4 linked regions of the Arabidopsis thaliana genome follow. The protein of the gene in region 1 interacts with the protein of each later gene in a pairwise test. Each region holds a gene or a part of one and is shown in the gene's direction. Other genes may lie near its edges.

Region 1 (4,732 bases):
ATGTTACACCCTGAGTCTGGTGTTAAAGGCTCCCGGTAAGATGAGAGAGACTCGTCAACTGAGAGACTTTTGTCTGGTCCACAGTCCTTGCCAGACTTGTCTTGAAGAGGAGACTCAGATGTTGGGGCAGGGGTTGCAGGATCTGAATCGCCCGTTACTGGGGCTGAGGGTTCGCCGAGTACTCCACTGAGTCGTTGTTGCTCTTCAATTATCTTCTTCAAGTACTTTCCTTGTGCTTCTATCCGTAGTTGCAGCTGTCTTTGCACCTAAGAAAAAATCACATCAAAGAATAATGTCATATGTAATGCAAAATTCAGTGCTACACTGAAAATCCTACTAATTGTTTCGTTGTTGCTTGTCTTTCTTAAGTAGGAATGGTGAAGCATACTTCTAGTTGCTCGTGTAATCGTTTCTGAACTTCCATCTGCAACTTGAGGGCTTCAGTTATCTGCATTCCCCTGTAATCTCGAAACGATATTGATCACTTAATCTGCGGCGCGAGGTAATATATATATAGCATCACAAATCAAGCTCAAAGAGGGAAATTTCACGTACGACGAGCCGTCCAACCCAGAGAGCATATCTCCAGATTCTTTCTTATCAGTTTTTTTCCCTGAAAATTGAAAAAACCAGTTTTCAGGTATATAGGAAACTGGTAGAATGAGAAAGAAGATGAAGAAAATCAATGTCCACACTACCTTCAGAAGACGAATCTGGAAGATACTTTGCAAGTCGATATTTCTGACTCAAAATACACAAATGCAAAAATCAGCAAGGGTAAGAGAAAGAGAGACGAGACAAGATGCCACACAGTTTGAGAATACCTGTAAGTGACTCTTGACATGATATATAGTTAAGCCTTGTACACCCATCACTCTAAGAACGCCTTTGGGTGTAGCTCCTTTGGAAATCAAAGGAAGAAAAATGTTTAGGAACCCTAAGCAAACAGACGATAGGCTTTCCCTCTCATGGATAGTAGTAAAGCATACAAGAAGAGCAATTTGATTATATTGGTGTGCATATTATTACCACAGATATTGATGAGGAAAACATGAGTTACTAAATTTACCATAGACTATACAAGAAAAAAGGAAACTTACTATCAGGGCCACCAAGTTGAGCAACGGCATCAACGAAGCGTTCATGTAGCTCATGCGTCCAACGCAGACGTTGTTTGGATGCATGACTAGAATTGGGGCCTCCGTTGTCTGCTTCCATCAGGGCTAAGATATAAACACGATAAAGGGAAAGTAATGAGTAGTGGCAAAGCTAGGAAATGATAACATATGAGGACTGGCCAGAGAGAAAGAGATAGAAATGGAAACAAGGAAGACGAAATAGCGCCCAGAATTAGCTAGTAAAAACAGTCCAAGTCAAGTTTAAGACTTGCTCCGGCAGATCCACCACAGGACACCAAAATCAGAGACATGTTCACTAAAATCGGAGGAATTTGTCGCCGAGAAAGCAAAAAGAAAACACAATCCAAGGTTATGGAATCTACGAACCTGTGGGTGGTGGATCTATACACGACGCCCCTCCATTTTCGGAACTTGCTCTTCTCCAAGCTAAATCTTATCTGAAATAGAAGATATTGTGTTACAGACTAGTTTACTGAGTCCGGTGGGTTACAGGGCGGGCGGCGATGGAGCAGAGTCCTCCTCAAAAAAATTCCAGTCTTCTTCTTATCGCTCGATCGACGAATTCCAGGCAGTGGCATTGACTATTGCTGCATTTCTTTCTGGGTAAGCCGGGCCTCTCGGTATAGGCCCAAACCATTCTAAGGCCCAAACCATTATATTAAGTTGGTTGGTCCACCAAAGTCAGCAGCAGCTAGAACAAGAGCGACTCTGCAGCTGCTCTTCTCCCGCTTCCTTCCTGTTAGTTAGCCTCAGAGATCCTCGTTCCCCGATAATGGATTTGGGAAAACTGATCCAGCTGTCTGCGCTGCTGTGCCCATTTCTTCTATCATTACACTTTAGAATCGCTGGGGCCTCCGCCCACATCTACTCTTCCCAGCCCTTCCACGATGTCGGTAATTCTCTCCTCCTCTACGGTGGCAGCGAGGGCATCTTCGCCTCTTCCCGATCTTTAATCAGGTATATTCTATGGATTACATTTTCAACTCTTTTGATGCTCTCTACTCTACTCTACTCATCCTCCCTCCTCACTGCAGGTTTGAGAACATCACTCTCTGGAGGACAATTACCGGTAAGGGCCACCGCAGCAATGGGTTAGTTCAAGCAGTGATCTTTGAAGCCTCCGATCGTAACAATATCGGTGGTTCAGCTTACGGAGGCCAAAGATCTATTTGCTGCACTCCAGATCTGGCCAAGCTTCAAGGCTGTAAGCAGGGTGAGATCATTAGGATTCCTTCTCCACATGACCCTCAATGGCCTATCCTCTTACCTGTCCGCTTTAAAGGAAAACGCTCGTCTGCTAAGATGGCAGACACTGAGATTCTTATCACCAAGACTGGAATCTATAATCTCTTATTCATATCTTGTGATCCACAACTTAAGGGCCTCAAAATGACCGGAAAGACTGTTTGGAAAAATCCCGACGGCTATCTTCCTGGTAGGATGGCTCCACTCGTGAATTTCTATGTCTATATGTCTCTCGCTTATTTGTTGCTCAGTGCCGTCTGGTTCTTCCAGTATTTGAGGTTCCGGATGGATATATTGCCACTTCAACATTGCATTACTGCCGTCATTCTTCTAGGATTGCTTGAGATGCTCTTTTGGTACTTGGATTATGCTAATTTTAATCACACGGGGATGAGGCCTTTAGCCCTTACTACATGGGTTGTTACCATTGGTGCCTTGAGAAAGACTGTTTCCCGCATTCTCATTCTCTGTGTTTCCATGGGATTTGGGGTTGTCAAATCTACTCTTGGTGGTCTCACTTCTAAAGTCCTCCTTGTTGGAGTTACTTACTTCATAGCTTCTGAGATCCTTGATATTGCTGAGCACGTTGGCATCATTGACGATATGTCCGGAAGATCAAAACTTTTTCTTGTCCTTCCTGACGCCTTCCTCGATGCATTTCTCATATTGTGGATATTTACCTCTCTTTCGAAAACACTGGAACAGTTACAGGTATCTCTTTCTTTCTAAATATAGCCATCAGACTCTGTAAGTTGTAAGGGTTTTGAGGCAAGATTCATCAGACCAGCTATAAAATTCTTTATTACTGCAGATGAAAAGGACCTCGGTGAAGCTGGAAATTTACCGCAAGTTCTCAAATGCACTCGCTGTGATGGTTGTTGCCTCTGTTGCGTGGATAGTGTATGAGGTACCATCCTGTCAAGCCTGATTTGATGCTGATTTAGTAAACTCAAATCTTACCTCTAGGAAACAAACTGCTCAACTAAAACTGGCTTTGTTTCAAGCTAGGAAAAAAGAAGCTCCTTCTTTCTTGGAATATACCCAGCTTGCTTGCCTGATGATTTGTCCCCGTGCAGGTGTATTTCAAAGCAACAGATCCATTCAATGAACGATGGCAGACTGCTTGGACTATAACTGCCTTCTGGGATGTTATCGCATTCTTGTTGCTATGTATTATTTGCTATCTCTGGACCCCCTCGCAGAACTCCCAAAGGTATGTTACATCAACTTAAAAGGTTTTGATACCTCTCGGGCATACCAACAAATAAGCATGGTTTTGTGGAAACGGTTTCAGCTGAGCATGTTGTGGGAAGTCTTGGCTACATGCTAGTGGTTCTTATGTAGTGGTCCAATTTTGGTGTTCCTGGGTGTGATAGGGATGCTAATATGAAACTAATGATGGACAGATATGCATATTCGGGAGACGTGGATGAAGAAAACGAGGAAGCTCAATCTCTGACAGGGGGGAAGCAAGATGGTGATATTAGCTTAGTTAAGCAAGAGAAGAATGCGGAGTCGGACAGGGAAGAAGATGTTGAAGAAGATAAAAGAGAGTGAGGAGAGTCAGTATAGAAACGACGTGGCATCTGTGTTTGATCAAGAGTTGACGAAAATATAAATATCAGCAAGAGGTCAGCTATATAGCACAAAGCAACGACGTAATACATATATATGATGTAACTAAAGGATAGTAACTGTGTGTTTGTATTTGTTTGTTTTTTTAATATCAGATCCAACATTTTTTGAGTCATCTCTAACCCTTGTCTGAGTGTGAGATTTGCCTAAAATTGCTGTAAATTACATTATTGATATTTTTATTGGTGGTTAAAATTGTGAAACATTAATTTGTCAATAATACTAGAGTCCAGACACGGAAACAGGGTCTCTCTCTCTTGTTGTGTATAATTTCAACACCGCTATTACAGAAGAAGAGTGAAAAGGGAGAGGGAGCTTCCTGCTTTCACTTACTATGCCTCCTCCTCCTTCTAGTTCTAGAGCAGGTCTCAACGGCGATCCGATTGCTGCTCAGAACCAGCAGCCGTATTACCGGAGCTACTCATCGTCGTCGTCGGCGTCGCTGAAGGGATGCTGCTGCTGCTTGTTCTTGCTGTTCGCGTTCCTGGCGCTGCTGGTACTGGCGGTGGTGCTCATCGTAATACTGGCGGTGAAGCCGAAGAAGCCGCAGTTCGATCTGCAGCAAGTGGCAGTGGTGTACATGGGGATCTCCAACCCAAGCGCTGTTCTGGATCCAACCACCGCCTCCCTCTCCCTCACCATCCGGATGCTCTTCACCGCCGTCAACCCAAACAAGGTCGGAATCAGGTACGGTGAGTCCAGCTTCACGGTCA
Region 2 (4,395 bases), on another chromosome or scaffold:
AGGTTCATCGGTTGTCCATGGAAGACCTTGAGCAATGGGGATTCTCATCTTTTCTTCCTCCATTGTTATTTCGTGTATCTTTTTTGCTAACTCTTCCTCTTTCACTTTACCTCTTTGCTGCAGAGAGACAAAAGACCAACCAACTGTCATGACTCAATTTCCACCATAAAATTCGAAATTTTTCTTTAGTTTTAATCTAAAGAAACTCATACCTCAGTTCTAAGCTTAAACGGCTTCAATGAAGTGACCTTAACCTGCTTCTTCTTTGATCTTCTACTTCCCATTGTAGTCGATGACTCCATGCTCTGCCATAAACAGAAATATCAAAATGATTATTAAACTATACTGACATACTAAGCAAGACAGACAACCATTAAACAGCTAAGAAAATTCAGATGCTGCATGCAGGACACTTACATTTCTTCTACTTCTCCTGCCAGCATTTGAACTTCCACTCAAAACACTGAAACATCACAATATCAAACTATTCAGAACAAGACAAGTTCATAATTTCAGTGAGATCTCTTAGTCAACAACAAACTAACCTGCCACGGGTGCTGTCCCAGGACGAAGAAATCGAAGCATTGGGGTCTAAACCCAGATTCTTAGCTGTTAAGACCATTTCAGATGGACAAAACGAAGAACTCCATGGGTTTTTCTCTTTCTCACCCTCCAAGAATTCCAATTTCACAGGTTTCTTCGTATCCTCTTCGGTTTGATTCTCTTCTATCTTGTTGGCAGTCTTTGAATTACTAAAGCAAGTGAGTTTCTCAAATGCTTCTACAAGATTCATCACTTTACCAGATACAGGCACACTTTGCCGTGCTTCTTCCACCACCTTAGCTCTTGATCTCTTCATTGTGGAAACGCCTGTTTTCTCCGGTTCTCCAGATTCTTTTCCTTCTAGTTCATCGCCATTTCCGAGATTACAGCATTCCTCCAAAGCTTCCTTATCCTCCTCTGATTCAATTCGATTTTTGAAGAACTCCTCTTGCGAAGCACGCAGAGTTTCATATGCAACACAAACACACTTCATGTTCCCCTTCTTCCTCTCTCCGCATTTACAATCTATCTCAGCTGCCTTGGATTCTGTAATCGCTGGCTCCTTCTTCCCTTTCCTCGAATTCTTCTTCGCCACCACAACAAACTTCCTCTCTCTGATCCGATTCCGGGGAGAGAAAACCGCCTGGGTAGGTTTAGGGCTCGGACTCGGATTCTTCTGCGCTGATTTCTTCGCAGATTTCATGAGCGGTGATTTAGAAGGACTCGCTTGTGAAATGTTAGGGTTTGCATTCTCCGATGATCTGGAAATCTTTTGATTGGACTGAAACTTGCTCCGATCCTTCACCGGAGTCCCTGCTTTCCCATTCTTCAATGTCAACGACTCCATCGAAGATAACAGAATCTGGAATCAAGAGAGTAACACGAACAGTAATCGATCTAGATTTGAGAATCTCTCCAACAAAAAAAAAATTGATCGGAGGTGAAGAATTAGGGTTTGTTCTTGCTATGGAGTATTGTAAATCGAATAAGAAGATAGATTTGGGGGAAAAATGTGACCGTTGCGGCGCTCTTTGGACGCTCTCTAATAACGGCTAGTCTTTTTGGTGCTTTTTTAATAAATAAACTTAGATTAGTAATAAATAATTATTTTCCTAATCTTGTCCGTTAGATTGTCAAATTAATGATTATGATGATTTTAATCCACGTTTAATGCCACGTCACATCCGAATTTCAACACTTTAGCAGCGAGTTATTTTGTACAATCTTAGCCATTAGATCAAATAGATGCTGGAGCCGATATGATCCACGTTGTACTCCATGTCACATCAAATTTTCAGACAATAATTCTTATTTATCTAATATCAACCGTTGGATTAAATGATCAGATACTGACGTGTCCACGTATACTGCCACGTCACCTATAATTTCCCACTCTTTTCCTTTTTTTGGGAACTTCCTTCATTCACAAACGAGTTATCATTTCGTAGCCAATTAAGTTTCATCATCATATTTAATCACCAAAAATATAATTCGCATCGTCGTTCTGTTCTCTTGAGTCACTAATGGACCAAAGATCATTAGAAGCTGCTGCTAAATCTGGAAACATCGATCTACTATACGAACTAATCCATGAAGATCCATACGTTCTTGATAAAACCGACCACGTGCCCTTCGTTAATACTCCTCTCCATGTGGCAGCCGTCAATGGAAAAACAGAGTTTGCCATGGAAATGATGAACTTGAAACCATCTTTTGCTCGGAAACTTAACGCCGACGGACTTACACCGTTACACCTCGCCGTGGAACACGGTCACTTCTGGTTAGTACTTGAAGTAGTTAAGGTTGATCCAAGTCTTGTTCGTATTAAAGGGAGACATGGTACGTACACTCACTTATTTTGTTGAACCCTTAATTATGTTTCTTAGTTTTTTCCAAAAGCTTTAGCTCTAATCAATCCGAACTAATGTTATAATATGTATCTAGTAAATTCAAATCTTGGAGATAGTATTGAAGTAGGACGAACAGTCCATTGAATACTAGTTTGAATTCAGTCTATTGTTGCTTTTGACTAGTCATTATGTCGATATTGTATGGTCAGATCATGAACTAGATTGGTTATACCAGGAGTGTTTAATTCATTTTTCTTGTCCAAAAAAGGTATGACGCCATTGCTAGTTGCGGTAAGTAGAAAGAAGATTGATCTGATGTCAGAATTCTTCTTGGGTTGTCCCGAAAGCATTGTGGACGCAAATGTGAACGGAGAAAACGCTCTTCACATCGCCGTGAATAACTACGACCAAAGAGAAGGATTAAGCGTTCTTAAAGTTCTCATGGGATGGATCTTAAGATTGTGTCAAAAAGATGCAGAGTGGATCGAGACAAGAGTCATAAACCGAAGAGACAAAGACGGTAACACGCCTTTACATCTCGCGGCGTACGAGATCAATCGTCAAGCTATGAAATTGTTGTTAGAGAGCTCCAAGATTAACGTCAACATTGAGAACAAGAACGGTTTAACCGTGTTCGACATTGCTGTGTTACACAATAACAGAGAGATAGAGAGAATGGTTAAGAGACATGGTGGAAAACGTTCGGTTTCTCTTGTCAAGATTAAGACAACATCGGATATACTCGCGTCGCAGCTTTCTTGGAGAGAATCGAGACGGACGAAGAAGATTCGGTTTTATTCTTGGATCTCTGAAGAGAGAAGAAACGCTCTTTTAGTGGTCGCAACTCTCATCGTCACAGCTACATATCAGACGGTTCTCCAACCTCCCGGAGGCGTGTCTGATGGCGGTGGTCAAAAGAGTGGAACAAGCGGTCCGAAAGCGGGTTCAGTGGTTATGGACGAGGTCTACTTTATCTGGTTATGGTTGTGGAACAGTGCGGGGTTCTGCTTTGCGATTGAGATGATGATACGTTTGTTGAGTTTAGGACAAGAGAGTATGTTTTGGTATTACCCTCTGTTCGTTCCTATGGTCTTGGCTTACTCTGTTGCAGGGGATGTGATCAAGCCGAACGCAAGAGCGTACACGATCGCAGGTGTGGGTGCGATCGTGGTTCTTATAATTTGGGGATTGGTAGTTTGGTTTTGGGAATGGGTGCAGTCTAAGAGAACCAAGCAACGTGGACCCAAGAGTGGATTGGTTTGGGAAGGTTTCACTACGTTGGATCAAGCTAGAGGTGTTGCGCCTAATCGGTATGTGATTAGGTAATCTTAATTTCCTCTTGTTATTTTATTGTTGCTTTTGTATTTTTATTCTATAATGTGTAAAATCTCTACTCGGGGTAAACCTATTTACATGAAATATCTGTTTATTATTTGCTTCTAATATTTACTCTACGTGATATGATGTGCATAAAAAGACTACATGATTGACAAGAGTATACGTTGCTAGAAAGTGGAAGGTGTCGTATGACGCATTCTAATTCGAATGTAAATTAGTAAAATAATTACTGAATCTACAAAAATCATGATTTTGAGGTTTTATGGTCACAGTTAAAGTAACATGGCAAACTTGTATACGAATCAAAAAAATATTGAACCATGTTATATTTGAATTCTTTTTCAATATATTTGGTTTCGATTTATATTTTTCTAAAACTATATATAGCTTTAATATTAAAATTTCAACCGCACTCTTCTTTTTATTAGTTATTTATATAATTATGCAAATATAGCTTGAGAAGCACTTCAAAAAGTGTGACTGAGTTTTTAAGCAAAGTGCAGTTAGTCTTTTGTCTGAAGTTTGTCCTGCAGACCTCACCACACAATCACTTAAGTACTCATATATACAAAATGGTTTTATAATAATAGATTAACATGTACATTATTGAAACTAAACACCAAACTTTGGGAAGTATATTATTACTATGAATGGACATTGACGC
Region 3 (2,769 bases), on another chromosome or scaffold:
ATTCAAGAAAGAAATACTGAGATAACCGAAACCAAAATACTAAACCGAACAAATAAAAAAACGAACTGAATCCCAACCAAAATTATAAAATATCTTAACCAATTTTTTCAAACCCAACCCGAATGGTGAACCAGATAACTTTTTAGGTTACTGTGTCATTGGGTTCAACCGGATTCGACCATAGATCAATTGATTAAAATTTATTTAATATTTTTAATACTTTTAGAAATTATATAGTATTATAAATATAAAAATAAAAAATAATCATACCATGTTTAACAAAATATGAAGTTTCACAATAAAAATAAAGTGATTAAAATTTTTAAATCCAACAAAAACCATAAAAAAAATACTTAGATAGTATGAGATTATCAACAAAAAAACTAATAAAACATTGCGAAAACAATATAACTAATCACCGTTGTTTCTCTCACCATTCCTAATATTTAATTCCAAAATATCAAAATCAAATGGATTTTGTTAAAACTCAAACCCGACTGATTCAGTGGATAGCATGTTAATGGTGAATTTTTTGTGTTTTTTTTTCTAGTTTTTAAACTGTTGGATGTTAACCCAAACTGGAAGTGTGTACAGGTCACAGGGTCAAACTAGACGGTTCGGGTCTAGCGTGAAAAAAATGGATTATAGAATCTTTAAACGAAACGAACGAAAAGGTAACCGAATGTGTACCCGAAATATCCAAAAACAAAAGGAGTATCCGAAACAATTCAAGAAGGTGTTTAAGACCTTAGTTCTGTTTAATTATGTCCTAATTATGTTATTTGGTTTGGAGAGCATTCTAGTACACGCTATCCTCTGTTTACGTACTTAGCTTTTACATGTTAATCTATACACCAATCAAGGCAGTCTCAGGATAAACAATCATTATCCTAAATAATTACGTATAGACTTTGCTTTGTTTTTTAGTTCGGTTAATATTTGTTTTTAAAATCGTTATAGTTAATTATGTAATATGTTTTAGGTGTTTTAAAGCAAAACAATTTCTTTTAAAACCCATAATTGGCTTTCATTATATTTTTCAGTCACAGTCTACTTTATTAAAGTAAAGTTTCTTCTAGTTAAGTTTATCTCTAATTAAAAGGTTAAGGGTAAAGGTTCTTTTAAACCAATGCTAAATCGTTTGGTGATTCTTAATATTATTATTTCTATTTAATAAATATTTTGTGCAGTTGAGTGAAACAAATTTTGTCATAAGGCATCGGTACCTGCTTTTTTCAAGAAAATGGGATGCTTTGACTAGTATGATATATAATTGTGTTTTATATATCAATCATGTTATATTTACTCTTGGTTAAGATTATTTTTTATTGTTAATGATATCATTGATACAATGATACTTAAGAAAAACTAAAAATGTTCCAAATGTATTCTATAACCAATTATCATTTGAGCTACATTGTTCTCTATCTAATCAAATCAAAATCATAATATTAAGCTATTATGGTATATAGGAAATATTTGAACTCAATCCTTTTTTTTTGTGCGGTTCAAGCTTCTAAAGAGGTCTCAAAATTTGTGTGCAGTCTTTCTTCACACTTTCACTCACCTTTTGTTCCTACACATAATTCTCTTTGCTTTTAATTATATAATACTAACTTGATACAACTAGCCATATCACAATTTCCTAACTCCCAAGAACAAAAGAAAACTCCTTTCTTCCATTCTTGGACTTTTCTCTCACTTTTGGTCTCTTGGATATGAATCTCCTACTATTTTTTCTTCTCTCCACCGTTTCAGTTTTCGCCGTTGTCTCTGGCACGGTGGAGGAGACGGCCCGTGATGTTATTGATGCATTGGCTCATGCCCCTTTTGAAGAATGGTCATCGGTTTTCATAGAAACCAATGACCGGATCCGCGCCGAGGTTATCCCATCTACCCTCTTCATCCCAAACTCTTCCGCCAACGGGAGCGATGATAGACATAAGTTGGCTTCATACCACATTGTTCCTCAGAGGCTTGAGTTTGCAGATCTTCTCTTGAAGCCAAGTAGATCGAGACTACCGACTCTTCTCAACGGCTCCTCCATTCTGGTAACCAACAATTCTGCTACTTCTTTTTCTATCGACGGCGTTCTCATCATCGAACTTGACATCTACGTGGATTCCTTCATAGCCATCCATCGTATTGCATATCCGCTTGATTACACAACTTACGGCGGCGGCTCTAAGCTTATATCGAAATGGCCGCTCTTCACCTTTATGCTTGTTACGGTTGTGTGGTTCATTTAATCATAGTGATATGAATAGATTGTGCTCATTTCACCTTATGATATATATATGAAAAGACTGAAGTCCCTAATCTATAATATGAAAGTCTTTTAAATGAACACTTAAACCTTTTTTTCTTGTACTCATGACTTGGTCATTTTTAGTAACGTACAACTTTTTATTTTTGTTTTTTAAACACGTAGACTGCATACATTGAGAGGTTTAACGATGAACATATATGCTCTCTTGTTTTTTACTCATTAAAATGCCGACTTCTCTATACACACAACACACGGAGATAGATACTTCTCATCATTTGAGTCATTATCAATATAAATAACTGAGACATCTTTCCAAAATTTACCACGACAATGAGAGGTTATCAACATATATATATATATATATATATATGAAAAGTAATATTCAAAAAAAGTAATAGATGAATCATGAATGGTCAACTAGATTTTGAGTCATTATTAATAGACGAAGAGATCTCTACAAAAAAAAACATTTACCATTCTATAATCACTAAACAAAATAC
Region 4 (5,257 bases), 8.4 Mb from region 1:
CAGCAAGACGATGGATGAATATGTTTGTCAACTGCACAAGTTTGCAGAGAGACTCTCCAAGCTCATGTGTGAGAATCTTGGTCTTGATCAGGAAGACATAATGAATGCCTTTTCTGGTCCAAAAGGTCCAGCTTTTGGAACAAAAGTGGCTAAATACCCAGAATGCCCACGTCCTGAGCTTATGAGAGGGCTGAGAGAACATACGGATGCTGGGGGAATCATATTACTCCTGCAGGATGATCAAGTGCCTGGTCTTGAGTTCTTTAAAGATGGGAAGTGGGTTCCTATACCGCCATCCAAGAACAATACCATTTTTGTCAATACCGGTGATCAACTAGAGATACTGAGTAATGGGAGGTACAAGAGTGTTGTTCACCGTGTAATGACAGTGAAGCATGGAAGTAGACTGTCGATTGCTACGTTTTACAATCCGGCTGGTGATGCCATAATATCTCCAGCTCCAAAGCTCTTGTATCCAAGTGGCTACCGTTTTCAAGACTACCTAAAGCTTTATTCAACTACCAAGTTTGGAGACAAAGGCCCCAGACTTGAGACCATGAAGAAAATGGGAAATGCGGATTCAGCCTAGGATGCATCTGGAATTTGACGCTTCTGTACTCACATCATAAAAACTTTGTCTTCTTCTTGTGTTTCCTTATAATTTAAATAACCAGCCATGTCAGAATCTTGCTGATTCAGCTATACTACTTCACTCTTCTTTCTTCACTTCCACTTGAAAAGTTCCAAAGCCAAACTGAAGCAGTCTCATCAAGCTCTGTGTCGAACTTGAGATTAGACAAAGAGCTTGTAATCTAAGCTCTAAGATTGACAGTCAATTTCATGATTTATAAGATGTAATTCAACTCTTAACGTAATCCACAACTCCGCCATCATCTCTTTCCATATTCTCTCTGATTTGACTCATTTCCTTCCCAATTCCTAGAATCAAACAAATAGCATTTCTATATCAGCATCTAAAACTGAAAGCTAAGTGTGTATTGACTCAAAATTCTTCTCCAATCGCAATAAAATCGAGATGAGAAAAATTCATCCATATGTTTTGGTTCACACATTCTATCGAGCAGCTTGTGTGCAATCCCAATCCTCTGAACCAAAACAAAAGCTTATCTCTTGACCATTACCCGACATTTCACTCATCAGCCAACGACAAATCCTGCTCCGAAACCTCTAATGCTTGGAAAAGAAGAAAATTCCGATTTCCGAACAATGGAACTTACTCCATTTTGCATTCTCTGTCGAAAGTAACATACGTTCAATGCAAATGACCCAAAGTCGTCGGTGCCACGTGGATAGTTCTCACTGGTTGATGCATTCGGTAACTCGCAGAATGGAAGAATATTAACACAAAAGGCATCTCGCGTATCCACGTGTCCCGTTCAAGATTCCAAATTCTAAACCAAAAGCCGGTCCGACCAGATTAACAAGTTCTCTTTATTACATCACAACCCAAAACTTGTTCAAAACCTAACTTTTCATTGCTAAACATATTTTATTCTGACATTCACATGTTAACTTTAATCCAATATCTAATTCTTTTTTCTTAAAACCACCGTTGTCGAAAAATCCAAATCAGCAAAATCAGTGATTAACCGGACCGGACCAAACCGAACATCGTTTTCTGTAAATAGCAGTAACTGGTTTCACACATCCCATCATCTCTAACCACCGACCTCATAAGTCATTAAGACAAAAACAGAGACACTCCTCTCACTCTCATTATTTCATTTTCTTTCCATAAAAAGCACGAATCTTCAAGAACAAAGAGAGAGAGAGAGAGAAAATTTAATGGCGTTAGCGAATAACTTAACGGCGATACTCAACTTACTAGCGTTACTCTGTTCCATACCAATAACGGCGTCAGGTATATGGCTAGCTTCAAAGCCAGACAACGAGTGTGTCAATCTCCTCCGTTGGCCCGTTGTCGTCCTCGGCGTTCTCATCCTCGTCGTCTCCGCCACAGGCTTCATCGGCGCCTACAAGTAAGAATCAAAGAACTTCAAGACTTTGAAAACATAGACACAAATTGAATCATAAAGATGTAAACTTTGAGCTCTCATATTTCAGGTACAAGGAAACTCTACTGGCGGTTTACTTGTGCTGTATGGCGATATTGATCGGACTTTTGCTGGTGGTTCTTATATTTGCATTCGTCGTGACCCGGCCCGATGGATCGTATCGGGTTCCGGGTAGAGGTTATAAAGAGTATAGGCTTGAAGGGTTCTCGAATTGGCTTAAGGAGAACGTTGTGGATTCCAAGAACTGGGGAAGGCTAAGGGCTTGTTTGGCTGATACTAATGTTTGTCCTAAACTCAACCAAGAATTCATCACCGCCGATCAGTTCTTCTCCTCCTCTAAGATCACTCCTCTCCAGGCATGTTCTTTCTTCTTTTATTCTCTTTTATAAAAAGAACCCCGAAATTTCTAGTTTCCGGTTTAGGTTTGGTTTAGAGGTAAATCTAGACTAAATATCGGTTATGCAACTATGCCAACGAATCATTGTGGGTTTAATTAGATATTATTAGATGATTAATGGAGATAAGATACGAAGTAAAGAGAATGTTTTGTAAAATCTCTAGATTATGTGAGACCTACGGTTTGTTCTTGCCATAGAAAGATAGGTTATTTTTTCTTTCAAAAAGTAAAGTATGTGGTTTTAAATCAAAAAGTTAAAAAATTTCTCTTTAGCTTTTGTGAAGATGTCCAAAAGAGAATTGTTCTTATTCTCTATATTCTTTTTTTTTGTTTTGCAGCTTTAAGTTATTTCGTTTTGGATTTCCTCATCTTTGAAAAAACTAAAAAAATATTTTCTGACTTAATTAATCTTATGTTTTCTAGTGTTGGAGAGAAACCTACATTAGCTTTCTTAACGTTTCGCAGTTAGTGCCATTTTGTGGTAAAACTCATAGATTAGGCATATGTAATCACCATTATTGAACACATATTTATTCCTAGTAGACTGGTGTAGAAGTTGCTGGAGACCAAGTCCACAAGATTATATAGTAAGATAGTCAGATTTCAAAATTATACACTATCATAAGGACCCACCCATGCACCCACAATATGGTACATGATAAACTATGTTTTATCTGTGTATTAATTATATTTTTCCTTTGTCACTATCTCACTCATAAAATTCAATGATCCCATTCACTTTAGATAGTGTTTTTCGTGATCACAACTCAAACTTGACAAAATTTCCTACTTTTTCTATTTAATTTTATTAATTAAAATCACTCTTAAAATTCATTGTCATGTCTTTTATGTCTTTTAAGCTTTAAACATGGAGAGATTAAGGGTGATTTAAATAATTTTATTCCTAAAACTTCTATAGCAAGTTGTCATCCTAGTCCATTGTCACTGTAACAAGATTGGAACCACTAATAATTAAATAAGCCTAGATGCTGAGGTCTCGACTGAATTTTAAATCTTTTAGTCATTAGACATTATTAAATATTGGACCAATGATTTGATTCAATAATTACGATCACAAGTCTTTGTCTCCATCATGAAACATAATAGATAATTATATCCCTCCCATGTTGCCCCACTCACATTATAATTTTTCTTATTGGATAAATTAGGACTCAAGAAAAAATAAGTTTATTTCTAAGAAAGAGTTATACAATTTCTCGTCCTCGAGACAGAACCAAAATTTACTCATAAGTAAAAGAAGATTATTCTGTGATAAGATTCAACATGTTTTTTCATTTTTTTTATGTACTTTCATACCAAGCAAGCAATTTTTTAGGTTTCTTGTAGTCGTTTTATTTTTATAGCTTTCAGACTAAAACTAGTGTTTCATTGTTTTAGGTCTTGACTCTTGAACTCTTGATTGTTTGTGTTTGCCTTTAGTATATACTTTTTTTTTCTCCACATGAACCCATAATATTAACCATGTTAAGCAAAATGAAATTTTTGTTGTAAACACAAAGGGCAGACGCAAATGGTAGCGTTTGTGTTTACAATGTGTAAATATTTTTTACCAATAAAAAAAAAGTGTAAATATCTTTAAGACTATGATTATCATATTTGAAAACATGGTTAAGCATATATTTGGTCAAATCTAATTATGACAATTTCTTGAACATTTGTTGTTTTACAGTCCGGCTGCTGCAAACCACCAACCGCATGTGGCTACAACTTTGTGAACCCAACACTGTGGCTAAATCCAACCAATATGGCTGCAGACGCAGACTGTTACTTATGGAGCAATGACCAAAGCCAGCTTTGTTACAATTGCAACTCATGCAAAGCTGGTTTATTGGGAAACCTTAGAAAAGAATGGCGTAAAGCAAATCTCATACTTATCATCACAGTCGTTGTTCTCATATGGGTTTATGTTATTGCTTGTAGCGCGTTTAGGAATGCTCAGACTGAGGATCTCTTCCGCAAATACAAACAAGGTTGGGTCTAAAATGTGTTTGTGTCTATAAATTTGTTTGTAGTTTGTTGAGATTGGAGTTTTCGGAAATAGCTCGTCATATTATGATTTCTTTGTGTGTGGAAAAGGTTTTTTTCTTTTTATGGATTTTGTTTCTATGTTTATCAGTTTATGTTCGACAAAATGGCACTTATCTATGTAAACAAACAACTGACCCTAATTGGAAAACTGATTGTTGTCATAGAGTTTTCTCAGTTTCTTCTATTAAGAAAAACTTAACCGTTGGTTAAAACGTAATTATCAACAAAGACTTCTCTTTTGGTCTGTGACGTTGATTCCAACGATAAGAACAAAACCTAATCTTTGTTTTCTTTTGTCAACAATAGTACTATCACCTTTGTTCTTAACTATTTTTTTGGGAACTTAAAATTGACAACACCGGAATTAAAATGTTTAATACTATCAAAATTATATGAAACTAAGCTGTCTTTTAGCTATAGTTTAATTCATTTCTGACCTCTAAAATAATATTATCCGGAGATTATTGTAGTTTCGTAACGTGGTTGATGAAACTACTAGGTGTTTTCTTAATTAGACCACGATTTTAACATTACGTTACACTAATACTCTATTGCATTTTTGGTAGTTTTCATAACAATGATTCCATGCGGCTTAGTCAAACCGAAATCATATTATTTGTAAATTCAATTCTGATATAATTTTTCTATTTTGTACCAAACGTAAACCGAAACATAACCGAAACCGAACCAAAACTTCATTTGCGTAATGTAGTTTCCTACGTTGTTGTATCTATAAATAGTTTGTTTGTCCAGCATCCATTTCATAATTCCTCAT

Evidence for each region.
Region 2: the proteins of AT2G01070 (region 1) and AT5G15500 interact in a protein complementation assay, tested with the Arabidopsis thaliana proteins (one large-scale study listed by BioGRID).
Region 3: the proteins of AT2G01070 (region 1) and AT4G12950 interact in a protein complementation assay, tested with the Arabidopsis thaliana proteins (one large-scale study listed by BioGRID).
Region 4: the proteins of AT2G01070 (region 1) and TET2 interact in a protein complementation assay, tested with the Arabidopsis thaliana proteins (one large-scale study listed by BioGRID).

What each region holds. Positions count from the first base shown.
Region 1 is NC_003071.7:73,685-78,416, forward strand, and holds AT2G01070 (Lung seven transmembrane receptor family protein), read left to right. Parts: upstream 1-1,835; 5' UTR 1,836-1,911; coding exon 1,912-2,096; intron 2,097-2,173; coding exon 2,174-3,095; intron 3,096-3,195; coding exon 3,196-3,291; intron 3,292-3,460; coding exon 3,461-3,597; coding exon of another isoform or gene 3,598-3,616; exon of another isoform or gene 3,617-3,716; intron 3,717-3,790; coding exon 3,791-3,941; 3' UTR 3,942-4,181; downstream 4,182-4,732. Other genes in the region: AT2G01060 (myb-like HTH transcriptional regulator family protein), read right to left, coding at 1-266, 389-458, 556-613, 699-741, 825-901, 1,101-1,218; AT2G01080 (Late embryogenesis abundant (LEA) hydroxyproline-rich glycoprotein family), read left to right, coding at 4,354-4,732.
Region 2 is NC_003076.8:5,031,115-5,035,509, reverse strand, and holds AT5G15500 (Ankyrin repeat family protein), read left to right. Parts: upstream 1-1,969; 5' UTR 1,970-2,066; coding exon 2,067-2,382; exon of another isoform or gene 2,383-2,661; coding exon 2,662-3,719; 3' UTR 3,720-3,862; downstream 3,863-4,395. Other genes in the region: AT5G15510 (TPX2 (targeting protein for Xklp2) protein family), read right to left, coding at 1-117, 213-305, 418-463, 546-1,390.
Region 3 is NC_003075.7:7,574,924-7,577,692, forward strand, and holds AT4G12950 (Fasciclin-like arabinogalactan family protein), read left to right. Parts: upstream 1-1,718; coding exon 1,719-2,249; downstream 2,250-2,769.
Region 4 is NC_003071.7:8,471,571-8,476,827, reverse strand, and holds TET2 (tetraspanin2), read left to right. Parts: upstream 1-1,674; 5' UTR 1,675-1,806; coding exon 1,807-2,000; intron 2,001-2,085; coding exon 2,086-2,392; exon of another isoform or gene 2,393-3,223; intron 3,224-4,123; coding exon 4,124-4,435; 3' UTR 4,436-4,694; downstream 4,695-5,257. Other genes in the region: ACO1 (ACC oxidase 1), read left to right, coding at 4-589. UniProt on the Arabidopsis thaliana protein: May be involved in the regulation of cell differentiation.